2 linked regions of the Oryzias latipes genome follow. The protein of the gene in region 1 interacts with the protein of each later gene in a pairwise test. Links are inferred from orthologs where the notes say so. Each region holds a gene or a part of one and is shown in the gene's direction. Other genes may lie near its edges. The genes, in order: ttc19 and telethonin.

The links.
Region 2: the proteins of ttc19 (region 1) and telethonin interact in binary tests that used the Homo sapiens proteins (3 or more experiments, as listed by UniProt). The link is inferred for Oryzias latipes from reciprocal best matches to the Homo sapiens genes TTC19 and TCAP.

Annotation. Positions count from the first base shown.
Region 1 is NC_019875.2:10,841,751-10,846,341, reverse strand, and holds the start of ttc19 (tetratricopeptide repeat protein 19, mitochondrial), read left to right. Parts: upstream 1-1,586; 5' UTR 1,587-1,623; coding exon 1,624-1,697; intron 1,698-2,359; coding exon 2,360-2,505; intron 2,506-2,583; coding exon 2,584-2,675; intron 2,676-2,875; coding exon 2,876-2,986; intron 2,987-3,088; coding exon 3,089-3,127; intron 3,128-3,347; coding exon 3,348-3,404; intron 3,405-3,475; coding exon 3,476-3,537; intron 3,538-3,610; coding exon 3,611-3,705; intron 3,706-4,591. UniProt on the Homo sapiens protein: Required for the preservation of the structural and functional integrity of mitochondrial respiratory complex III by allowing the physiological turnover of the Rieske protein UQCRFS1.
Region 2 is NC_019866.2:5,747,872-5,751,361, reverse strand, and holds telethonin, read left to right. Parts: upstream 1-1,283; 5' UTR 1,284-1,394; coding exon 1,395-1,543; intron 1,544-1,621; coding exon 1,622-2,012; 3' UTR 2,013-2,673; downstream 2,674-3,490. UniProt on the Homo sapiens protein: Muscle assembly regulating factor. Mediates the antiparallel assembly of titin (TTN) molecules at the sarcomeric Z-disk.

The DNA of each region.
Region 1 (4,591 bases):
TTCAAACATTAAACGTGTGACGACATACTTTTATTGAAGCATCTGATTGGTAAGTTTATAAATTGAATAACCTTTTCTACAGAAAAATATAATGAAAATAGGATTAGAAAGAAGAAAGAAGATGTTAATAAAGGAATCAGAGCAAGAATGGTTATTCTTCAAGTATGATGACTGAAGAATAGTTGTCTATTTCTCTATAAAAGTCGATGGGATTTTAGCGTCTTGGAAGTGACGGATACTTCCTGTTTGAATGCGACATTCGTCACTCAGTCCAGTTTTCATACAGTCAATGTGGGTGACACAAAATAGCTTGATCTTCAAACCTACCAGTAAAACCTAAGAATTTTTGCTTTCTGGAAGAAAATCTTGGTGAACCTCTATGTTTAAAACCAGCAGGACATTAGGGGTAGTGACAGTAATAGGAAGTGAGACCCAACAGTTAAACAATTGGTTTCTTCTAATAAAATATTTTCGTCAGCCTCTGCGGTTATGAGAGACCACATAAATGGAGAAGAAACAAACAAAGCTTAAAAAGAAAGCTTGTTATTGTTCCATCTGTGCTTCACTGGGTTGAAACCTGGTCTTAGTTCATCTGAAACATAAAGTCTGGACCTGTTCTTGAAGGGTTGAACGTTAGTCAAAGCTGATGTCCGAGGTCTGATGTTTGGCTCTACCTGCTCTCTGATGGATGTGTCTGTCTAGTTAAACAAGGAAAACAATTGTCAATATTGTAAATATGCATCTTGAAGAAAAGTAAAAATGAAACTTACAATAAAACCAAAACAAAGAACTGTCTTGATTTGCTGTCATTATTTTGTTTTATATGTCATGTTACAACATCATTATCAAATATATAAAAGAAATTCTTGAGTGAGTACTAAAAGTTGAAGTATGCTGAAACACTAAAGGAAATGAAAAGACTAAAATACTTTATATAATACATTTTTAAAAATAACTTTGAAATGACATAGAACACAAAAAAAGTGGAAGAAAACTGTAGTAAATTATTAAATATTGACTGCAAAAATGGACAAAATACCTGAAAAAAAGGTAAAATTCTCTAAATTCGACTAAATACACTATAGTGTTATTCCTATTTTCGTATTTTTTAACCTATACAAGGTTAAAAAAAACAAGAAAATTGTCTTAAAAGGGTTAAATAATGACAACAAACTAAAAAGTTCCTGGTACCAATTATTTTATCACTTACTCAAGACAAGTACCATACAAAAAATAAAAACAGGGAAAGGGCCTCTTATTTAATGAACAATTAATAGTTTATAATATGCATAGCTAAAACTTTCCTGAAGTTTTTATTTGTTTCTAAGGAGCATCAGTTTTTTCTCCAAAATATTTAAAAAAAAAAAAGAAAAGGAAAGAAAAGCAAACAACATATAGAAATCCTAATGGTTTTGAAACTAAAATAGAGATAGCTGAAAATGTGCAAAATTATAATTTATAGCCAGAAAGGACCCACAAGCGAATTCACTGTAAATACGGGTCGTGTCTCATTCGCCAAACGTTCAGTTGTATTGCTTCAAAATAAAATAATTTTCAGTACGTCTTTTATTATGAAGAAGTGCATCCTGAAGCGTCACTTCCGGTCTTGTGTAAACAGGCAAGATGGCAGCATACCGTGCGGTCCTGGCCGTCCTCCGCCGGACTCAGAGTGGGATTTTTGGTTCGGCGGGACTCAGGTGAGTTCGTGTCCTTTAACCCACCCTAACTGAGTGGAGAATTCCGTCAGTGGGAGCCGTCAGCCGCTCTCAGAGTCTGCTCGATAGCTGCGGCTTTCTCTGCCGCGCGCCTTAAACTTGAGGACGTGGTGCGTTCAGGTGTCCTCTGATTTGACAGCGTCAGCTCAAACAGGTTTTACCGGCATTTCTTTCACTATTATATCATTAAAAACACTCCCAGTTTAAATTAGATCAGGGGACAAATTAATAAGAATACATATTGTTGCTGTATTACACTGGATTAAGAGTGAGAAGAGGTGCATAAACCAGCTGATGATAATGATAACCAGATCCCTGAAGACTGTCATGTGACCAAAGCAAAACATAAAATCTGAAATGGGAAAAAAATCTGTATTAAAATGTAGATAAATAAACGTATTATTACCTCAGATCAGTTTGTACAGACACAATACATACAGATTACTACAGATATTACAACAGATCAGGCATGTTTCAAAGCTAAATATGGGTGCATGAATATCTGATGTCAGATGTTGATGACCATAATCATTCTAAAATTAGGCTTATGAGACAGATCTTTAATTCTGTCATCTACTGTTAATCAGACAATCAGGACAGCTCTGCCTGCTTTTGTCATGCATAGATATTTTTCTCTTCTCCAGGCGGCGCTCCATTGCTGTTCAGAGCTTCTCTGTGACATCACAACCTGAGGCAGGAGCCAGCTCCAGATGCTTGATAGCGCAGAGCAGACATGGACACTTCAGGAGAAACGTCCAGACAGGAGCAGGAGTTCTGTGGGCAGCAGTCGGTGAGTTCGGTCAGACTAAAGTCTCAAAAACTGCACGTGTATTTCTTCTTTGTGCTGACTGTGTGTGCACACGCACAGCCTTCTCCCTGTTCAGCAGCTCTGAGGAAAACAAACGGGATGAAGCTCAGAAGAAGGAGGATGAGATGATCTTGTTGTTGAAGAAAGCAAAGGTACCATAAGCCGGGCTGAAACAGAAGCAGGAACTCCTGCATGTTGCACGTGCACAGTGCACAGTGCACGGTGCAGAGACGGAGAGTCACCTGTAGAGGAACAGGTTTACGATGGAGCGGCTGTGGCATTGTTACAGTAATGTTGTAGTGTTTTGTTGCAGCGAAGTAAAGATATTTTTACTGTTTGTACTCGTACACAGCTCAGCATCCACCGTGGTCAGATGCAGGCCGCCTCCTCCTTTCTGCACCAGGCTGTCGCTCTGGCTCATCAGACCCACAACACACAGGCCATCATCTACACCTATAGCCAGGTGAGCTCTCACCTGTCCAGGCAGGAGCTGTCATGCAGCTTAACAATGCAGTCTACCACCACATTATTGGTTTACGTGACTCAGATTTGTTTTGCTTTTCAGATGGCCAATCTTGCCTACGTTCAGGGTCAGCTGGAGAATGTGAGTATTGGCTCATTGCAGCATAGTCACAACCGTTTGTGGAAGTGGTTAAACTGTAACATGTTTGTCATTTTTATCAGATACATTCCTTCACTTTATGTGAAGCTGGGTTTGTCTTTTAGGAGTAACTCTTATTCCTGCACATCATTATCTCTTTTTAGATATCCTGCAGCTCTCAGCTGTCAGCTGACATCTTCATCTGTGCTCCTCTTCCTCTCAGGCAGAGAAACTCTTCAAAGCCGCCATGAGCTTCATGCTGTCAGGAGGAACTCCAGAGGTGAGTCGTGCCGGCGCCTCATTTGTATTTGAACGGAACAGCTGCAGTCTCACAGCTGACTCTGCCTCCAGGACGACAACGCCGTCATCGAGATGTCTCTGAAACTGGCCACCATCTATGCTGAGAGGAACAAGTGAGAGGCGGGCCAACTGATTTATCTGGGTGGAAGTTCAGAGTTTTCTGACCTGAGTTTGTCGTTTTTTGAGGGCTGAGCTTGCTGAACATGGTTTCAAGTTCTGCACAGAATCTCTGGAGGCTAAACTGGAGAAACACAAAGAGCTTCCAGCAGAAAAGCAGACAGGTGAGATACTGACAGGTGACAATTCAGTGTTAGAAATAAGGGACAACCTGGCAAGTAAACTTGGTTGTCCTCCCCAATTTTTGGTTGTCCTTCGATACCAATATTCAACAGCAACGAAACCTACTCAGATGTCAGTACTTACATCTTTATTTCTTCTATACATCTAATATCAACTGCCTCTTATGATGGACATTTAAAAAACTCTTTAAATATTAAAAACAAACATTTGACTAAATATTGAAGCATCTGGTTACACAAAGTATTGCCAAAAAATTGAAAACAAAATCCTTTTGTGTGTTTTTGGAGACCTCTAGCGGTCGCACCAGGTATTGTTCAACACGTATTTGAAAACCGGTAATCTTTATTGAAAAGTACAGATGTAGAAACAAAGGATTCGCTTGCATGCATGCACTTCGTTTGTCAGTGGAAAGAATTTGCTGCATAGGTCTCAATTCAGAGTTTGCCAAATAATAACCATTGAAACTTGAAAAATAGTCGAAAAATACCAAAATGTTGAACAAAAGATCAGGTTGTCACATGGACAACCATCAGGTTCATTTGGTTGTCCTCCGTGAAATCTGGTTGTCTCGGACAACCGGATAACCGCTTATGTCAAACGCTGAAATTAGGTCAGGAAAGTTCTGGTAAGCCAGATTGTTTTTTAGCAAGTTCTGACCCAAGCCTTTTCAAAGGAAGAACAATATCGTTATTCAATTCAATTCAGACTAAACTAAACTAGATCCCCCTTCATTATCATGAGGTCTGTTTATTTTAGCAATAACCCACTACCTAAAAACAATGACTGCAATTTTACTCAAAAGACAACTTTGTCTCCAGTTTTTATTCAGGTGAAGCTGTGAGGTCTTTTTTTTGCCTCTTAGTCTGT
Region 2 (3,490 bases), on another chromosome or scaffold:
TGTACGTTGCAAATAAACAACATGTAGCGTTAAAGCGATAAGAATCTTCTGTTGCAGAAGAAGCAACATTGATTTATTATTTTGTTTTCCATTTATTTTTGGTGTTCGGATCTCTCTGGCCATTCCTATAAAAAGTCTCTGCCTGCGTCACCAACAGCAGTTACTGGAAAAGTTTAGTTATTTTCTCGCACAGATGTCACGGTGATACAGATCCGCTGACTGTCACTGAAGCTCACAAACTTTTACCACTCACACATTTGTAACAATTTTCTAAATAATAACCACTCTGCTCTCATAATTTGCAAAAGAAAATGACTTTTTCTCGTTTCAGGTCTACAACTGCTGAAAAACAGGGATGGTACTTTCAAAATGATTTAAGAGGCTTCTGAAATGACATTCGTGGTTGCTATGGTTTCACAACATGTCTGAGGTGGTGACATTTCGTTTTTTTCCACTATCCAAAAAAAGTTCATGTTAACATAAGGTGTTGTCGAAACTAAAAAGTACGATCAAACGCACAGTGGATTAACCAGAAGACAAAACTAACATCAGAATCCAAAGTATTATTATTGTTGTCTGATGGAGCATCTTGTTGTGGGGGTCATGTTCTGTGCCGTGTGCGATAAGTGATACCTGCCCTGTGGTGAAATAAGTGCCCCGTAAGGATGAATGAGTCACAGACGAAGACCGGTAGTGAGGCACCACGGCAGAGATCTGTCGGAGTCTACGTGGACGCTTCTCGATCTGTAACCTGAGCTGATTAGTGCTCTGTCACCAGGTTCATGAATCAGGATGAAGATCCGCTGGCCTTTGATGACTGATGTTGTCATGCAGCATCGTAAAATCTCAGCTAGTACTTCTTCATAATTGATAAGCAGCAGCAGTTATTACAAACTGCAGTATTCCGAGTCAGACATGAATCACTTATTCGCTGCACTTGTATTATATTAGGGATTGATTGAAGTCTCACCTGCTGTTTGTGTCTGTCAAAACCCAAATCTTGTTGTCCCATCCCTGCCTCCCTGCTTATGTAATCACTGTCTACTGATACTTTAACGGAGCTGGAAAGTGTGGTAAGGGTGATTAAAAAGTTGACTGGGCGCACAATCTGAGAATCAGGGGATTTTCCGCTCAATTACCCCCAGAGAGCCTCCTCGGATGAGCTTCCAGCTGTCCGGGAATGAGGCGCATTGGACTGAGTGTCAGATGTCGTCCACGCTGGTTGTAGAATGACAACACGAATCAGAAATAGCAACAGGGCGTCTATATAAACCACAGGCAGACCCAAGCAAAGACATCCCAGGCAGAGACAGAGGAAGCCTGAAGCATCACTAAGACAAGCCAACATCTTCAGGACATCGTAAGTCTGAGAGAGATCTTCCAAAGGAAAGAAGATGCCAATCTGCAGTGTGCTGGAGAAGAGTAACGGTGTGGTGGTGGGAGGTCAGCTGACCTGCAGCGTGCGGGAGGTGAACAATGCACAGAAGGAGAGCTACGCTGCTGACTGGGTCAGTGTTTACCTCAAGACTCAGCCCCAGGACAGGTGAGACATTTGAACTCCCTTCAACTCAAATTGGTTGTCCTATGAAGAAGATTTTTATGGAATTCTTGAATTCCACAGACAAACCATGAACATGAACGACAGTTCCCGCCGGGAGACTCTGTCCCGGCAGTGGCAGGCCCGCTGTCTGACCCAGTCCTGCCCCTCTGGCGTCGTCAGGGTGGGCACTGTGGAAAGAGGGGTGAAGGAGCACCAACTGCTGCCAAAGAGAAACACTTTGCCCCTGCCCATTTTTGTTCCCACAGAGCTGGGCATCAGATTGGGGCGTGGAGGCCCACACACAGAGGAGGACTTGGTGCCTATCCCAGTTCCAAACGGGCTCTGTCCTGGCAAGAGGACCGTGGACGAGATCACCAGGGACCTCCCACCTGTCAAACTAGCCACCATGGAGTTCGCCAAATCGCCTCAAGTCCTGGGTCGCTCCATGTCCCAGGAGGTCCAGAGAGGGTGAAAGAGTGAGGAAGAAGAGGGAAAGAGGGGGATGAGAAAAATGACAAGTTCAAGAATGGAAGAAAGTCAGGGATAATTTTGAGAAGAAACGTAAACCCGTCTGTAGTGTCGCACATTTTGATGTTGGAAGTTGATTGTCAGGACTTGAGGGTTTAACCACAAAAGGACAACTGAAAGTACAATTTTTTGTTAGATTAAAAGTTTACGTCTGTGAATCGTAATGGAAAATAATGAGTGAAAGAACCACGCAGGTCAAAAAAGTGATGGAAAGAGGGAGGAGAGTCAGAGGGGGTGTGATAAACCATGTTAGTCCCTCTCCAGGACTCCAGAGCTTCTGCCAGCTTCTGATCTTCGCCGAGGGAACAGAATGCACTGGCACAATCACACACACATTGCTGCTTTCAGATCGAGTGTTTTTTCCGTGTGTGCACTAAAGGACATCACCAGGCAGGGATTTGGGAAAAATGACAACCTGTTTTTTTATAGAGGCGTATCTCATCTGTCTTGTTAGTTTAGCGGCGGCTTTTATTTGTTTCTCACAAAGAAACCGATGATAAACTAGCTGCTTGTATTAGTGTGTAAATCATTTTCAAAGGTGCAATGATGCTGATTTTTTGTTAGGAAATTATTATTTTTCATAATAAAAGTTGAAAAACCACAAATTTTATTTGTTTTTCCTTACAGTGCAACCTAAACACAACGTTCAAAACTCAGGATCTTTATTAGGAACTGAGTTTAACAGTTACTAATAAAGTCCATTTCACAGACTCGGACCCTCAGAATCCAAAGATGTCTCACTGTACTGCATTATATTTTAACAGTCCAGCCTTCTATGAATGTTACAAATAATTCCAAAAAGGTCAAACTGAAAAAATGAGGCAAGCATGACAAAACCATGCAGGAAGAAAACCACAAGTCTAGTGGGAGATCAACCAGATCGGAGACCTCCACAAACAGTCAGACATGCTGTCACCTAACATCAACACTAAAAGAGAAGATGTTTAAGGTGGACTGAGAAGGGATTTTAGGAAAACTAATACTGATTATTAAACTAGAGGAATTCCTCTCTAAAATGTAAGTACAAGTTTATGGTTTGATGGTTTTAGTGTTTGCCAGCAGGGAAACCAGAATAAATCTGTAAATAGACAACCGTAGGTCACAATAAAAAATGAAAACATGCAGCAGATTAACCAACCACCGCAGAAAAACCCTAAATTAAACCAAAAAAATCCATGACGTTGACCAAAAAACAAAGATTTACAGTTCAGTTTAAAAAAAAAGTACACTTTAATGATTTACAACAGATAAAATCCAAATAAAATGCTTTGAAGTCCAAAATTCAAACAATCTCTTTAGGGTTTTTTAAACTATCACGACTTATTTATAGCTTCTTTTTGAAAATTAGTGTCAGTGTAGCACCATAGTTTGTTCATTGGGCAAATCCTGTTTAAAACCCCACTCTGATCATCTTTTGATCTA